Linked DNA regions of Oryctolagus cuniculus. The protein of the gene in region 2 interacts with the protein of the main gene of each other region in a biochemical or structural test. Links are inferred from orthologs where the notes say so. Each region holds a gene or a part of one and is shown on either strand. Other genes may lie near its edges.

Region 1 (6,911 bases), on a different chromosome or scaffold from region 2:
CGGCCTCAGACAGAAACTGAGCTGGGTGCTGACACCTGGAGCCTCAAGAAGAGGAGACGTTGTAGCCATGAGCTGGGGGGGGACGACACCCCTCCCCCTCCTGGGGCCTCCTGGGTTCTGACAGTTGCTGGCAGTACAGGCGCTGCAGGGCCCCGCGTCCCTCCTGACTCGGGCTGTGACTAGGGTTGCTTAGGCAGCAGGATGCCTGGAGACACAGCAGTGCCTCCCTCCAGGCCTGGCCCTGGACAGCGGCAGACTCGCTGGCAAACTGATAGGAGAGCTCCCACTTCCAGACGCCTGGCGCTCGGCGGAGGCGTGCACTGAGGCTGGCACCAGCAGCACGGCCACCGTGGCAGCCCCACCGTCTGCAGCTGGCTCCCCTGCTGCTGCACCTGGACAGCCAGGCCAATGGCCCAGATGGCAACCACTGCCGCTGGCCAGGTGTGGGCACGCGCTGCGTCATGCCGTCACCGGGGGCTGCTGCGTGGGAAGGACGGCTGAGCCCACCTCCCTCACCAGGAGCCTGGGGGAGCCCAGCCAGGGCAGCCCACGGATTCCTCTGAGTCAGAGGTCAAAGTGAAGGCGTGGCCTGGAATCTCAAGAGGCGATCAGCAGTCCTGTGCTGGGAAGAGCTCCCCTGCGCCGGCGCTGTCGGAACAGGGTGTCCTAGCTGTGTGCACACCACTGACACGAAGTTCAATTCGGGTCTGGCAGATGTTTGATCTCCTGAAATGAGCTGTTGCAATGCTACTGTTTGAGTTAAATAAACTGATTTTCCCCAAAAAATAAAATAAAGCCGCTTGGTAATCAAGATCAGAGTTCCCCTCCTGGTTCCAAGTGCCTGTACCCACCTGGGTCATCACTTGACCCCTGTGGGATTTGAGATTAAAAAAAAAAAAAAACGCACACCCCAGAACGATGCCAATATGCTGACACCACGGGGTCTGCTGTGCGGAGTAATACCTAGGTCCTTGGGCTCTGTCCCGAGAACCCAAGACACAGCAGTAGGCAATCTCTCCCGCCCTAGGGAAAGTCAGACCCACTTCCTCCCCAGAGCTACTAGGAACCCATCACAGGGTGCTGAAATCAGGAATGGAGGCGGGTGCAGGTGGACAAGGTCCCTACGCTCGCAGTCCGACGCGCCAAGAAACATCATCCTTTGGAAAACTCAATGCTGAAAACACGGCCTTGCGACCAGAGCCCGGGCCCGCGCGTCCCGGCGGCGCCGTCTGAGCCCAGAGCCTCGGTGTGGCCGCTTCTGTGCCCTGCAGCTGCAGCGTCAGACACGCAAGGCGGGGCGAGGTTCACCAGGGGCAGATGCCGTGGGGCTCTAACTCCCCCAGCTCCCACGGGTCCCGTTCCCAGGAGATCGCGGCCGCGGGGTCGCGCGCCCTGGCCGCAGAGCCAGCGCGCAGGCCGCGGTAGGAGCCCAAGTCCCGCCGACCCGCGTTCTCCCCCGCATGTTACATCCGGCCGCCATCCCGCGTCGACAACCCGCCACTTCTAAAGCGTTCCAGAACCCCGGACACCCGCGGCTGAGCGACCGTACCGGCGCCGCCCCCTGGGAAAACCCGAGGGAAGTGGCCTCCGGCAGAGGCGGGCCGCCCGGGGCTCCCCGCACCCCGCACACGGACACGCTTCGGTGCGGCGGCCCTGCGCCAGCAGCCACGCAGCGCCCGCCAGCACCCACCTGCTGCAGGTACTGGTTGATGGTGATGTGCGCCATGGCGCGGCCGCCGCGCAGCCTGCGCCCGGTCCGCCCGCGTCAGGCCGCGCGTCACTTCCGGCCGGCGGTCCGTCCACCGCCAGGCGCCCCCCGACGCCAGCGTCGCTCGCACATTGGTTCCGGCCACAACGTGCGCCGCAAGCGCCGCCCCGGCAGCTCGGCGCCGAGCCCGGTGGAGGGCGGCCGGGGTCTGGCGCCGCTCGCCTCGCGCGCTGGGGCCCGCGACCCCTCTCGTGAAAAGCACTCCCCGCAGCGACGTTCGGCTCGCGGCCGCAGCCGGCCCGGGCGCGCCCCCGAGTCCACACACAGGGTGCCGGCGCGCGCGCCCGCAGACTAAGATGGAGGGCGGCCTCGCGCCCCCTCCTCAGCCCGCCCTCGGTGGGGCGGCGGGGGTCCGGGCGCGCGCCGCCGCGCCGGCGGCCGCGGGGTGCGGCGGGCTCCGCGGCGCCGGCTTCCCGCGCAGCCCCGCGCCCCCGAGGGGAGGGGCGGCCCGGCGCGCGGCCCGGCGCGCGCGCCCCGGAGTCTGAGCGCGGCGTCCCGCGCCCGGCGGCGGGAGGGGCGGGCCGGGCCGACGGCGGCGGCGGCGGTTGGGCTCCGGGGCGCGGGCGGGGCGGGGCGGGGCGGCCTCGGCGCAGGCCCGGACGGAGGCTCGGGAGCCGGAGCCGGCGCCGGACGCGGGCGGACAGGGCCGGAGCCGGGCGCACGGGGCGCGGGGCGCGGGGCGGCGTGCCCGGGCGGGTCGGGCGGCGTCCGGCCGCGGCCATGGCGGACGAGGCCCCGCGCAAGGCCGGCGTCTCGGCCCTCGTGGGCCGCACCAACGGCCTCACCAAGCCCGCGGGCCTGGCCGGCGGCCCCAACAAGCCGGGCGGCGCGGGCGGCTCCAGGAAGCTGGTCATCAAGAATTTCCGAGGTGCGGCCTGGCGGGCGCGGGGCGCGGGGCGCGGGGCGGCGCGGACGCGGGGCGGCCGGCCGCGCCTGACCCTGCGCTCTCCACAGACAGGCCGCAGCTGCCCGACAACTACACGCAGGACACGTGGCGCCAGCTGCACGAGGCCGTGCGGGCCATCCAGGGCAGCACCTCCATCCGCTACAACCTGGAGGAGCTGTACCAGGTGAGCGGCCCGAGTGGCCCGGGGCCGCGGCGGGCGCGGGCGCGGGCGGCACGTGACCGCGCGGCCTTCGCGCGGGCCGCGCTTATGTAAAGTGCCCGCTGCGGGGACGGCCCGCGCGCGTCTGGATGCGGTTCGCCGTTGCGTGTCCGGGGTCGGGAGGAGCGGCCGGGGGCGCGCCGCGTGGGGAACTTGGAAGCCACTTGGCGGCCCCTCGGGAGCGCGCTTCCCCCCGATGTGCGGGGAGCTGTGCGAGTTTTCCCTGCAAAGCCTTGGGCTGTGGGTGTATTTGCGTGACGTTAGCGGCGCTGCGCAGTGCCACGGAGGGCCTGTAGGCCCCCTGCGTGTCCCGCCACCCACCCTGCCGGGGCCTCCCTTATCCAAACTCCCGGAATGCTCCAGAACCTGACACTGAGCACCGACGTGGTGACACAAGTGGAAAATTCCACACCTCGTCGCACGTAATGGATCCCAGCGCGAATACGGAGCACTGGGCGTGAGAGGGATACCTGTGCTTGGAGCTGGAGCCCCCCCCCCGCGCCTGTGTGCGTGTGTGCGTGACAGGGCGCGTGTGAACTGGCCGGCCTCTGCGTCTCTCTAAGCCGTTCTCTCATCGTTTACATAGGATGTGTAACTTGGGTCTTACTAAGTTGTTACGGATGTGGACGTGTCTCCCCTCCCAACCAGCTCCATCGTCTTTACTTACTTGTTTTCTGTCCCCATAGCTTGCTGTTTCTGGAATCTCATCCAAATAGAATCATGCGTTTTGCATGTCTGACTTTTTTTTTTTTTTTTTTTTGCTTAGGGTGGAACTTTTAAAAAAATTGTTTACTCTCATTGTATTTGAAAGGGAGAGGAGGGACGGAGGCAGAGTTCTTCCACGTGCTGGGTCATTCCCCCAGCTGTCCACAACAGCAGGGGCTGGGCCAGGCTGAAGCCAGGAAATCATCTGGGTCACCCACACAGGTAGCAGAGCCCAAGAACTCCAGCCATCATCTGCTGCCTCCCGGACTGCGCGTTAGCGGAAGCTAGAATTAATTGTAAGTGGAGTCACAACTCAGACCCAGCCATTCTGATGGGCGATTCAGGTGCCACAGGTGGCTTCTCGCCCACAGCACCACACACATACCCACGATACTTCTGAAATCCATGCACACTATGTGATAGTAATTAGCTTGTTTACTATTTATTTATTTGAAAGATAGAGCCAGAGAGAGAGGGAAAGAGACAAATACGGAGATCTTCTGTCTGCTGGTTCAGTCCCCAGATGGCTGGGCCAGACGAAAGCCAGGGCCCTAGAAATCCATCAGGGTCTCCCATGTGGGAGGCACAGGCCGAGGCTTTGGGCTATCTACTGTTTTCCAAGGAGCATTGGCAGGGAGCTGGTCAGGAGTGGAGCAGCTGGGACTCCAACTGGAGCTGGGTCCCCATAATTTGTTTCTTTGTATTCCTGTCCTGCTTGGGTGTACTGTGTTTGGCTTATTCTTCACCAGTTAATGGACACTTGGGTATCAAGTTTTGGGTTACAAATAACGTAACAAACATTCTCATTCCTCTGGAAGTAGATCCCCAGGGTCCCGTGGAAAAATACTTGTTCAACTGTATAAGAAATTTCCGGGGCCGGCACTGCGGCACTGTAGCGTAGCTGGTAAAGCCACAGCCTTCAGTGCTCACATTCTGGGAGTCCCAGCTGCTCCACTTCCGATCCGGCTCTCTGCTATGGCCTGGGAAAGCAGTAGAAGATGGCCCAAGTCCTTGGACTCCTGCACCCACGTGGGAGACCTGGAAGAAGCTCCTGGCTCCTGGCTCCTGGCTTTGGATTGGCCCAGCTCTGGCCGTTGTGGCATTTAGGGAGTGAACCAGCAGGTGGAAGACCGCTCTCTCTGCCTCTGCCTCTGCCAGTCTGTAACTCTTTCAAATAAATAAATAAATCTTAAAAAAAATAAAGAAATTGTGGCCGGCGCCGCAGCTCACTAGGCTAATCCTCCGCCTAGCGGCGCCGGCACACCAGGTTCTAGTCCCGGTCAGGGCGCCGGATTCTGTCCCGGTTGCCCCTCTTCCAGGCCAGCCCTCTGCTGTGGCCAGGGAGTGCAGTGGAGGATGGCCCAGGTGCTTGGGCCCTGCACCCCATGGGAGACCAGGAAAAGCACCTGGCTCCTGCCATCGGATCAGCGCGGTGCGGCGGCCATTGGAGGGTGAACCAACGGCAAAGGAAGACCTTTCTCTCTGTCTCTCTCTCTCACTGTCCACTCTGCCTGTCAAAAATAAATAAATAAATAAATAAATAAATAAATTTCTTGCTTTTCAAAGCGGTGGCACCATTTACTAAGTCCCTGTGTGCTCATTTGCTATTCTGTGAGTGTTTTTGATGAACTGTCTTCAGATTTTCTCATTCTCATTGAGTTTCTTTTCTGTTATTGAGTGGGTAAGCTTATTACATATTTTGGACAAATGTTATATCAGATATTGGCTTTGCAATAATATTCTCCCAGTCTGTGGCTTGTCTTGATTCTCTTAAGTATGTCCTTTGAAGAGCAGTAGATTTTTTTTTTTGTTTTTATTTTCCCCCCAAGGAAACCTTATATTTAAGGAATACAGACTTCATGCATTTCATAAGCACAACTTCAGGAATACAGTGATTCTTCCCACCATACCCACCCTCCCATTCCTCCTCCTCCCTCTCCCATCCCCAGTCTCATTCTCCACTAAGATCCATTTTTCAATCAACTTTATACACAGAAGACCAGCTCTGTTCTAAGTAAAGAGTTCAATAATTTGTCCTCAGCTGTCGAGACAAGGTTGTTCAGAGCCATGGCATCTTGAAGTTAATTTCATTTTTTTAGAAGTTTAATTAACTTTAAGGAAGCATCCAAGAATGATACATCTTTTAGGAGCACTTAGACGTAGTTATAATACAACTCACTGAGGACAGAGGTCCTGCATGGGAAGTTGGTACACAGTGATTTAATTAACAATTAACGCTCTGTATGATGTCAGTGATCACCCGGGGCTCTTGACATGAGCTGCCTCGGCTGTGGAAGCCTTGAATCCACAAACTCCATCAGCGTTTAGACAAGCCATAAGCAAAGTGGAAGTTCTCTCCTCCCTTCAGAGTTAAAGTGCCTCCTTTGATGAGCACTTCTGTCCGCTGGAGTTCACCCACCGAGATCCTTCACGTAAGACATTCTTTGCTCCAGCGTCTGGAATTTCCATGCCTGAAATGCTCTCGTGGGCTTTTCAGCCAGACCAGAGTGCCTAAGGGCTGATTCTGAGGTCAGAGGAGAGCAGTTTTAAATTTTGAACGCAAGAGAGTCAGTCTGTTCCTTTCTGAGTTGTGCTTTGTGTCCCAGCCTATGTCACGAAGATTTTCTCCTGTTTCCTTCTGGACACTTCTGAGTTTAGGTTTTACACTTAGAGTGCGTTTTTGTATGTTATGAAGTGTGAATTCACGTTCCGTGTTCTGCAGCGTCTTGATTGAAAGACTTCTTTCTTCTGAGTCGCTTCTTTCTCAGCGAGGATCGTTGTCCGGCGAGGAGTGCTTCACTAAGTCGTGGGGTCGGAAGGTGTTATCCCTCCAGCTGGGTCCCTTTTCACATCTGTTTTGGTCCTGTTCTTGGTCCTTTAAATCTCTGTATGATTTTGGAATCTGTTGGCTAAGTTCTGCAAGTAAGCCTCCTGGGACTTTTGTCATGTGTTTGGGGACCCTGGTTCAGCGTTGGGGGAATCGGTGTCCTGACACTGCGGGGTCCACTGACTGTCACAGAAAGCAGCTCTGGTATTTTTTCATTTCTCTCGGCAGCATTCTCTAGTTTCAGTTACAGGTCTTACAGATCTTTTGTGAGATTTATCCCTTGGCAGCTCATACTTTTGATGGTGTTTTGTACATTATTCTGCACCCTGCTGTTGTGTCATCTCACTTTCTTTTTTTAAGTTATTTATTTGAAAGGCAGAGTTAGAGATCTTCATCCTCTGGTTCACTCCCCAGGTGGCTGCAGCGGCCAGGGCTGGGCCAGCAGGAGCTAGGAGCATCGTGCAGGTCTCCTGTGTGGGTGCAGGGGCCCAAGCACTTGGGCCAT
Region 2 (6,770 bases):
CATCTGCTGCTGCTTTTCCCAGGCTGTTAGCAGGTAGCTGGACTGGAAGTGGAGCCAGCAGGACTTGAACCAGCACCCATATGGGATGCTGGCATCGCAGGTGGCAGCTTTACCTGCTATCCCACAACACTGGCCCCAAAGAAAAAATATTTTGTATAGCTGTACCATGTGGTTGTGTTTTAAGCTAAATGTTATGACCAAAGAGTCATGGCCATAGGGGATGCTGGTGTCACATGTGCCAGCCTGATCCACTGTGCCACAAGGTTGACCCCTTACCGTAGTTTTTCTATTTTAGATACACAAACATTTTTTTTTTTTTTTGACAGGCAGAGTGGATAGTGAGAGAGAGAGACAGAGAGAAAGTCTTCCTTTGCCGTTGGTTCACCCTCCAATGGCCGCCGCGGCCGGCACCCTGCGGCCGGCGCACCGCGCTGATCTGAAAGCAGGAGCCAGGTGCTTCTCCTGGTCTCCCATGGGGTGCAGGGCCCAAGCACTTGGGCCATCCTCCACTGCCTTCCCTGGCCACAGCAGAGAGCTGGCCTGGAAGAGGGGCAACCGGGACAGAATCCGGCGCCCCGACTGGGACTAGAACCCAGTGTGCCGACGCCGCAAGGCACAGGATTAGCCTAGTGAGCCACGGCGCCGGCCTATACACAAACATTTTCCATTGTGTTACAATTTTCCACATGTTTGGAACAGTAACACGAGGTAGTCATGACCTGTGCACAAAAGGCCATACTATTTGGCCTGGTAGTAGGCTATATATATTTATACCACCTAGTTTTGTCTACCTGCACTGTTCACACAACAAAAGTACCTAACACAATGCTCATTTCAGAATGTATCCCAGTGTTCCTCAGGGTGTGCCTGCGTATGTAAACTGAACAGGGAAGCAGATCGCCAGGGCCATTGAGGCCCCTGTAAGGACCCCAGCTTAGATGCCACTCTTCTTAGAGGCCTTACCTAACCACTCCAGTTAATGGTGCCTCCCCCTCTCCTCAATCTCATGGCCTTGTTTTGTTTTCCTCAGTGCACTTACTGGTACCTAAGATTTCCTTTTGTAATTATTTATTGACATGTATTATTTCCCTACAAGAAATTTGATTCCTTCATCACTGTGTCTCTCCTGTTTTAAAAACGGGACCCAGTACATTCTCAAGACCTTTGTTTTTGTTTTTTAAAAGACTGCTCGATCGATCGATTGATTTTTTTTTGTTTTGTTTTTTTTGACAGGCAGAGTGGACAGTGAGAGAGAGAGACAGAGAGAGAAAGGTCTTCCTTTTGCCGCTGGTTCACCCTCCAATGGCCGCCGCTGCAGCCGGCGCACCGTGCTGATCCGATGGCAGGAGCCAGGAGCCAGGTGCTTTTCCTGGTCTCCCATGGGGTGCAGGGCCCAAGCACCTGGGCCATCCTCCACTGCACTCCCTGGCCATAGCAGAGAGCTGGCCTGGAAGAGGGGCAACCGGGACAGAATCCGGTGCCCCAACCGGGACTAGAACCCGGTGTGCCGGCGCCGCAAGGTGGAGGATTAGCCTATTGAGCCACGGCGCCGGCTCGATCGATTGATTTTAAAGGTAGTGTTACAGAGACAGGGAGAGATATTCCATCTCCTGGTTCACTCCCCAGATGGCCACAACACCCAGGGCTGGGGCAGTCCAAGCTAGGAGCCTGGAACTGCATCTGGGTCACCCATGTGGGTGGCAGGGCCACTAGCCCAGAGCTGGATCGGAAGTGGAGCAGCCGGGACTCCAACCTGCACCCACGTGGGATCCTCGCGTGGCAGGTGGCGGCTTAACCTGCTGTGCCACAAGGGTGGCGCAATACAGTTTATTGTTGTTACGATTTTTACTTATTGGAAGGTCGGAGTCAACTCTTCCATGGGCTGGTTCACTCCTCCGACGGCTGCAACGCCTGAGGAGCCAGGAATTCCAGGAACCCAAACACTCGGGCCACCTTCTGCTGCTTTCCAAGGCGCACTAGCAGGGAGCTGGATGGGAAGTGGAGCAGGCGGGACTCAACCCAGCACCCACGTGGCATGCGGCGTCACAGGTGGGGGGGGGTGCTAAGCGCGCGGCCACAATGCCCCCCAGTTAATTTGTTGGGTGATGGATAACCAGGGCCTCGGAAGCTCTGCCATGGGCTTCAGGAACTCCAGGAAGGGTCCGTAGGCACACATTAATTAACGGCAGCTTTACCCCAGACTCCTTAAAGCTTGGGCTAAGGAACTTCGTGGGGTTCCTGCGACCCCCTCGGGTCTCCCACAGTCTCACGGGGGGTCTGTCGTTCCTGTTTGGGATTAAGAAGGAAAACATTCCAAGTCCCTCCGGCTTCGCGTTGGAGGCCACGGCGCCAGATCGAGAGGCGAGAGGGGAGATTTCAAATAGACGGGAGGCGGGAGTGAGACCCCCACCCCGGGCGGTTACAGCCGTGGAAGCGAGGCCTGGTGCAGGCTTGGAGGGAGGTAGACCAGAAGACGGGGCGAGGCCAGCGGTGGCAGCCGCCTGCCTCACAAAGACGCGGGCCCTCCAGGCCGACCGGACTCGCCACTGGGGAGGACGTTCGGGGGTCTCCTCCTCTTGCCCGTCGAAGCCCTGGGCATTCCCCGAACGGGCATCGGGGAAGCCAGCCGGTGCCTGGTGGGCCCGACAGACCCCGGCCGCAGGCCTCGCAGGGTGACTGGCGCTGGGGCCTGGGCTCCGCAGCGGGACCAGGCCGGTCCGCAGAAGGTCAGTGTGGAGTCCCGCACCGCGGGGCGCCACCCCCGCCTCTTCCCCGCGCCCGGACCAGCAACGGTGCCGCGGCCTCGGCCAGGTTGGCGGCCGAGGCGGAGGAAGCAGCCGCCGCCGCCCCGGCCGAAGGCAGTGCGGCCCGGGGGCTTCCCGGGGAAGGGCGACGAGAGCGAGCCCTGTCGAACGTTTCCACTCGGCTCGCTGCAGGCGCCTCGGCCCCGCCCGGCCCCGCCCCGGCCCCTCCGGCCGCCGCCTCCTCCCCGGCCGACGTGAGGGGGGAGGCCTGCGCCAGCGCCTTTAAGAGGCGTGGCCATGGGCTCCGCCTCCATCTGCCCCTCGCGCGCCAGTCGGGGGAGGGGTGCGGGAGGAGGCGCCCGGGCGTCAGGGGGTGGGTGGGAAGCGAGGCGCGCGCTACTGCGCAGGCGCATTGGCCGGACTACAGATCGTGTGTTTCCAAAATGGCGGCAGCGATGGATGTGGATACCCCGAGCGGCACCAACAGCGGCGCGGGCAAGAAGCGCTTTGAAGTGAAAAAGGTTGGGTCTCGCCAGCGCCTTCCTCGGGGAAGCTAGAGAGGCGCGGATCTGGCTGGCAGGCCCTTGGATGACCGAGGCGCGGAGGAAAGGGCTTCAATTCAGGGCGTTCCTAGGACCGGGTACCACGAAAGGAAGCCGGGGGGCGGGCCTTAGCGTTGATCGGCGTGACGGCGGCCCACTGTCGAGCGCAATGTTGAGTTCGCTTTGAGGCTGAGGGGCCAATCACGGAGGTGCTTATTGAGATGCGCGGGGTTGCGACTGGGCTGCGGGAGCCAAGCGCCGGAGCTGTCACTGAAGCGGCTGAGGGGTGGGGGGAAGGACCGGGCGGGGTGGGTGGAAGGGGAGTCGGAGCGCTGCGGCGGGTGGAGGATGGGGTGGTGTGGCGAAAGCCGAGAACCTGAGCTCTTACCGCACTGGAGGCCTCTGAGGAGCCCGGCTGGTGACCTCCCCGCCCCGCCCCTGTCTGAAGCGTGGAGGGTCCCCGACTCGTCCCTCCGTTAGCCCCTCTCGGGCCCGGCCCCCGCCCGGAGTGTGCAGCTTGGCTCTTGGGGGGTCGTGTGTCGGCTTGTCACACAGCCGCCCCAGCCTTGTGGTGTCACGTCCAGAATCTCCCTCCAAAAGACATTTTTAAAAAAAAAATCATGGTGGAATTTGTTGAAAAGAAAATGTCCCAGTCTCGTGCCGTTCGCGGAGGATCGCGTGCTGGCTCCGAGCGGCCTGGCGGAGACGGGGGCAGGAACACATGTAGACGCGGCTTTTTCTTTTTCTTTTTGGCGTGAGGTCTGCCCCCTCACTGCTTTCCCCGAGCCGGCAGCTCTGGAGAAAAGTGTCGATTCCCACCTAAGGTGAAATAAATCTGGACAATGAAGGTTCCGACCTAGGGGAGCTGCGCTTCCTGGACCATCGTCCAGGCGCGGACGCCGGGCCCTCCGAGTGCGTTTCGGCGTCTCATTGTGGCCGCCGCTGCCCGCCTGCTGCCAGCAGCCATGTTGCGGACTCGGGGCTTCTCCAAGTTGGAGCTGAGGTGTGGAGAGTGCTGGCGAAGTTCCTAGACCTGAGAGCTGGCCTGGAAGGAGATGAAGGCTTGGGTGGCGGCGCCAGACAGTGGGTGAAAGGGGAGTTTGGAAGTTGTTTCTCATAATTTTTTTAAGATAAATCCTTACTGGAATTTACTACATGTTAGAGTTGCAACATACGAAAGTTGAGAACATCAGCTTATTTGATAAGAACGAAAGATTCTAGTAAATTCTGCCGTTTGGAAGTGACGGCGTGAGGTTCAAGCGATGACCTTGTTCTGGGTACCCACCCTGGGTCACCAGTTATCCAGCTTATCCCACGATTACCCACGTTATTATCCAGTCATCGTCTTAGTTCATCCTGTCCCTAGCGTTCACCTCCCGCTCCTGATGTTTATGCAGATTTTGAGCCCTGCAGCTGCCAGAAAAACCTTCACAGGAATTCAAGTTTGTGCTTATTAATCCTAAAGCAGGCACTGAAAAACTATTCCTAACTTGGCCTACATTGATATGACTGACTAAATTATTTTAAACTGTAGGGAAAAGAAATAAAAAAGGTGACTCATTCATTTCTGTATTCCTATACCAAACCTTTGGAGAATGGGCCAGCCTACATATAGCTTCCAGTTGTCCCCTAATATAATAAATGAGAATAATGTAACATCCAAAAACTCTTTTGTCTGGTGGTCCCTGTGGCCCAGGTGGGTAACTGCAGCTGCAGCAGGAAGCGCGTGTGTGCGTGACATTACAAGGAGAGCGCATTGTTCCCCCTTTTTCTCTTTGCAGTGGAATGCAGTAGCCCTCTGGGCCTGGGATATTGTGGTTGATAACTGTGCCATCTGCAGGAACCACATTATGGATCTCTGTAAGTAACTGGAGGAGGGTGGGAGGAGGTTGAGAGGCTACAGGGATTGTGGCCATCCTGAAGTGGCCAGTTTCCTTCCTCACCAGGAGACACAAAGCACAGCATGTGTGAGGCCTTTTGTGTTTAGTCCACTGGGGTGTTGGAAGGAAAGTAGTTTTTTCTGAAGTCCTACATGCATACCCAGCTCTTGGAATAAGTCCACTCCACACAATCTTAAGGATGGCAAGGACGCTTTTAGAGTGAATTTTGGACACAGAGATGCTGTGTACTCTTCTGTATCTCCCGTCTCATACTCAGAACTCCAAGGCAGACATAGTGAATGGAAGAAAGTAAACTCTGACCTAAAATATCCTACATGAGCTAATTTTTGCTGGGCGAGATTTACACTCCGCCCTATCTGTGGGGTCAGACAACTGCGGATCAGAAATACATATGCGTTTTTTAATGTCTGTACTGGACAAATATATCCTTTTTTTCCTTGTCATTATTCACTAACCCATACAGCTTCGCAATTGTTTACATAGCATTTACATTGTATTAGGCATTGTAAGTTACCTGGAGATGAACTAAAATAAATGGAAGGTTGTGTGGAGCAGCCAAGTCATGAACCAGTGTCCATAAGGGATGCTGGTGCCCTGGATTGAGAATTTTTTTGGGTGGCCGGTGCTGTGGCGCAGTGGATTAATGCCCTGGCCTGAAGCACCAGCATCCCATATGGGTACCGATTCAAGACCTGGCTGCTCTACTTCCAATCCAGCTCTCTGCTATGGCCTGGGAAAGCAGTAGAAGATGGCCCAAATCCTTGGGCCCCTGCACCCACGTGGGAGGCCTGGAAGAAGCTCCTGGCTCCTGGCTTTGGATCAGCAGAGCTGTGGCCATTAGGGCCAATTGGGGAGTGAACCATCAGATGGGAGACCTCTCTCTATCTCTCTTTCTCTGCCTCTCCTCTTTCTGTGTGACTCTGACTTTCAAATAAATAAAAAAAATTTTTTTTTGACAGGCAGAGTGGATAGTGAGAGAGAGAGACAGAGAGAAGGGTCTTCCTTTGCCATTGGTTCACCCTCCAATGGCCACCACGGCCGGCGCACTGCGCTGACCCGAAGCCAGGAGCCAGGTACTTATCCTGGTCTCCCATGGGGTGTAGGGCCCAAGCACTTGGGCCATCCTCCACTGCCTTCCCGGGCCACAGCAGAGAGCTGGCCTGGAAGAAGGGCAACCGGGACAGAATCCGGTGCCCTGACCAGGACTAGAACCCGGTGTGCCAGCGCTGCAAGGTGGAGGATTAGCCTAGTGAGCCGCGGCGCCGGCCATAAATAAATCTTAAAAAAAAATTTTTTTTTTAAGATTTTATTTGAAAGTCAGAACTACAGAGAGGCAGAGAGAGAGAGAGAGGTCTTCCATCCGCTGATTCACTCCCCAGTTGGCCGCAGCGGCCAGACCTCCGCCGATCCAGAGCCAGGAGCTCTCGGTCTCCCACATGGATGCAGGGGTCCAAAGATTTGGGCCATCTTCTGCTTTCCCAGGTCATAGCAGAGAGCTGGATCAGAAGTGGAGCAGCCGGCACTCAAATCAGTGCCCATATGGGATGCCGGCACTGCAGGCAACAGCTTTACCTGCTACACTA

What was found.
Region 1: the proteins of RBX1 (region 2) and CUL4A form a complex in vitro, tested with the Homo sapiens proteins (6 studies listed by BioGRID, with this or other methods). The link is inferred for Oryctolagus cuniculus from reciprocal best matches to the Homo sapiens genes RBX1 and CUL4A.

Annotation. Positions count from the first base shown.
Region 1 is NC_091440.1:733,360-740,270, reverse strand, and holds the start of CUL4A (cullin-4A), read left to right. Parts: upstream 1-2,368; 5' UTR 2,369-2,488; coding exon 2,489-2,636; intron 2,637-2,722; coding exon 2,723-2,838; intron 2,839-6,911. Other genes in the region: PCID2 (PCI domain-containing protein 2), read right to left, coding at 1,691-1,726. UniProt on the Homo sapiens protein: Core component of multiple cullin-RING-based E3 ubiquitin-protein ligase complexes which mediate the ubiquitination of target proteins. As a scaffold protein may contribute to catalysis through positioning of the substrate and the ubiquitin-conjugating enzyme.
Region 2 is NC_091442.1:117,031,390-117,038,159, forward strand, and holds the start of RBX1 (E3 ubiquitin-protein ligase RBX1), read left to right. Parts: upstream 1-2,948; 5' UTR 2,949-3,187; coding exon 3,188-3,265; intron 3,266-5,067; coding exon 5,068-5,146; intron 5,147-6,770. UniProt on the Homo sapiens protein: E3 ubiquitin ligase component of multiple cullin-RING-based E3 ubiquitin-protein ligase (CRLs) complexes which mediate the ubiquitination and subsequent proteasomal degradation of target proteins, including proteins involved in cell cycle progression, signal transduction, transcription and transcription-coupled nucleotide excision repair.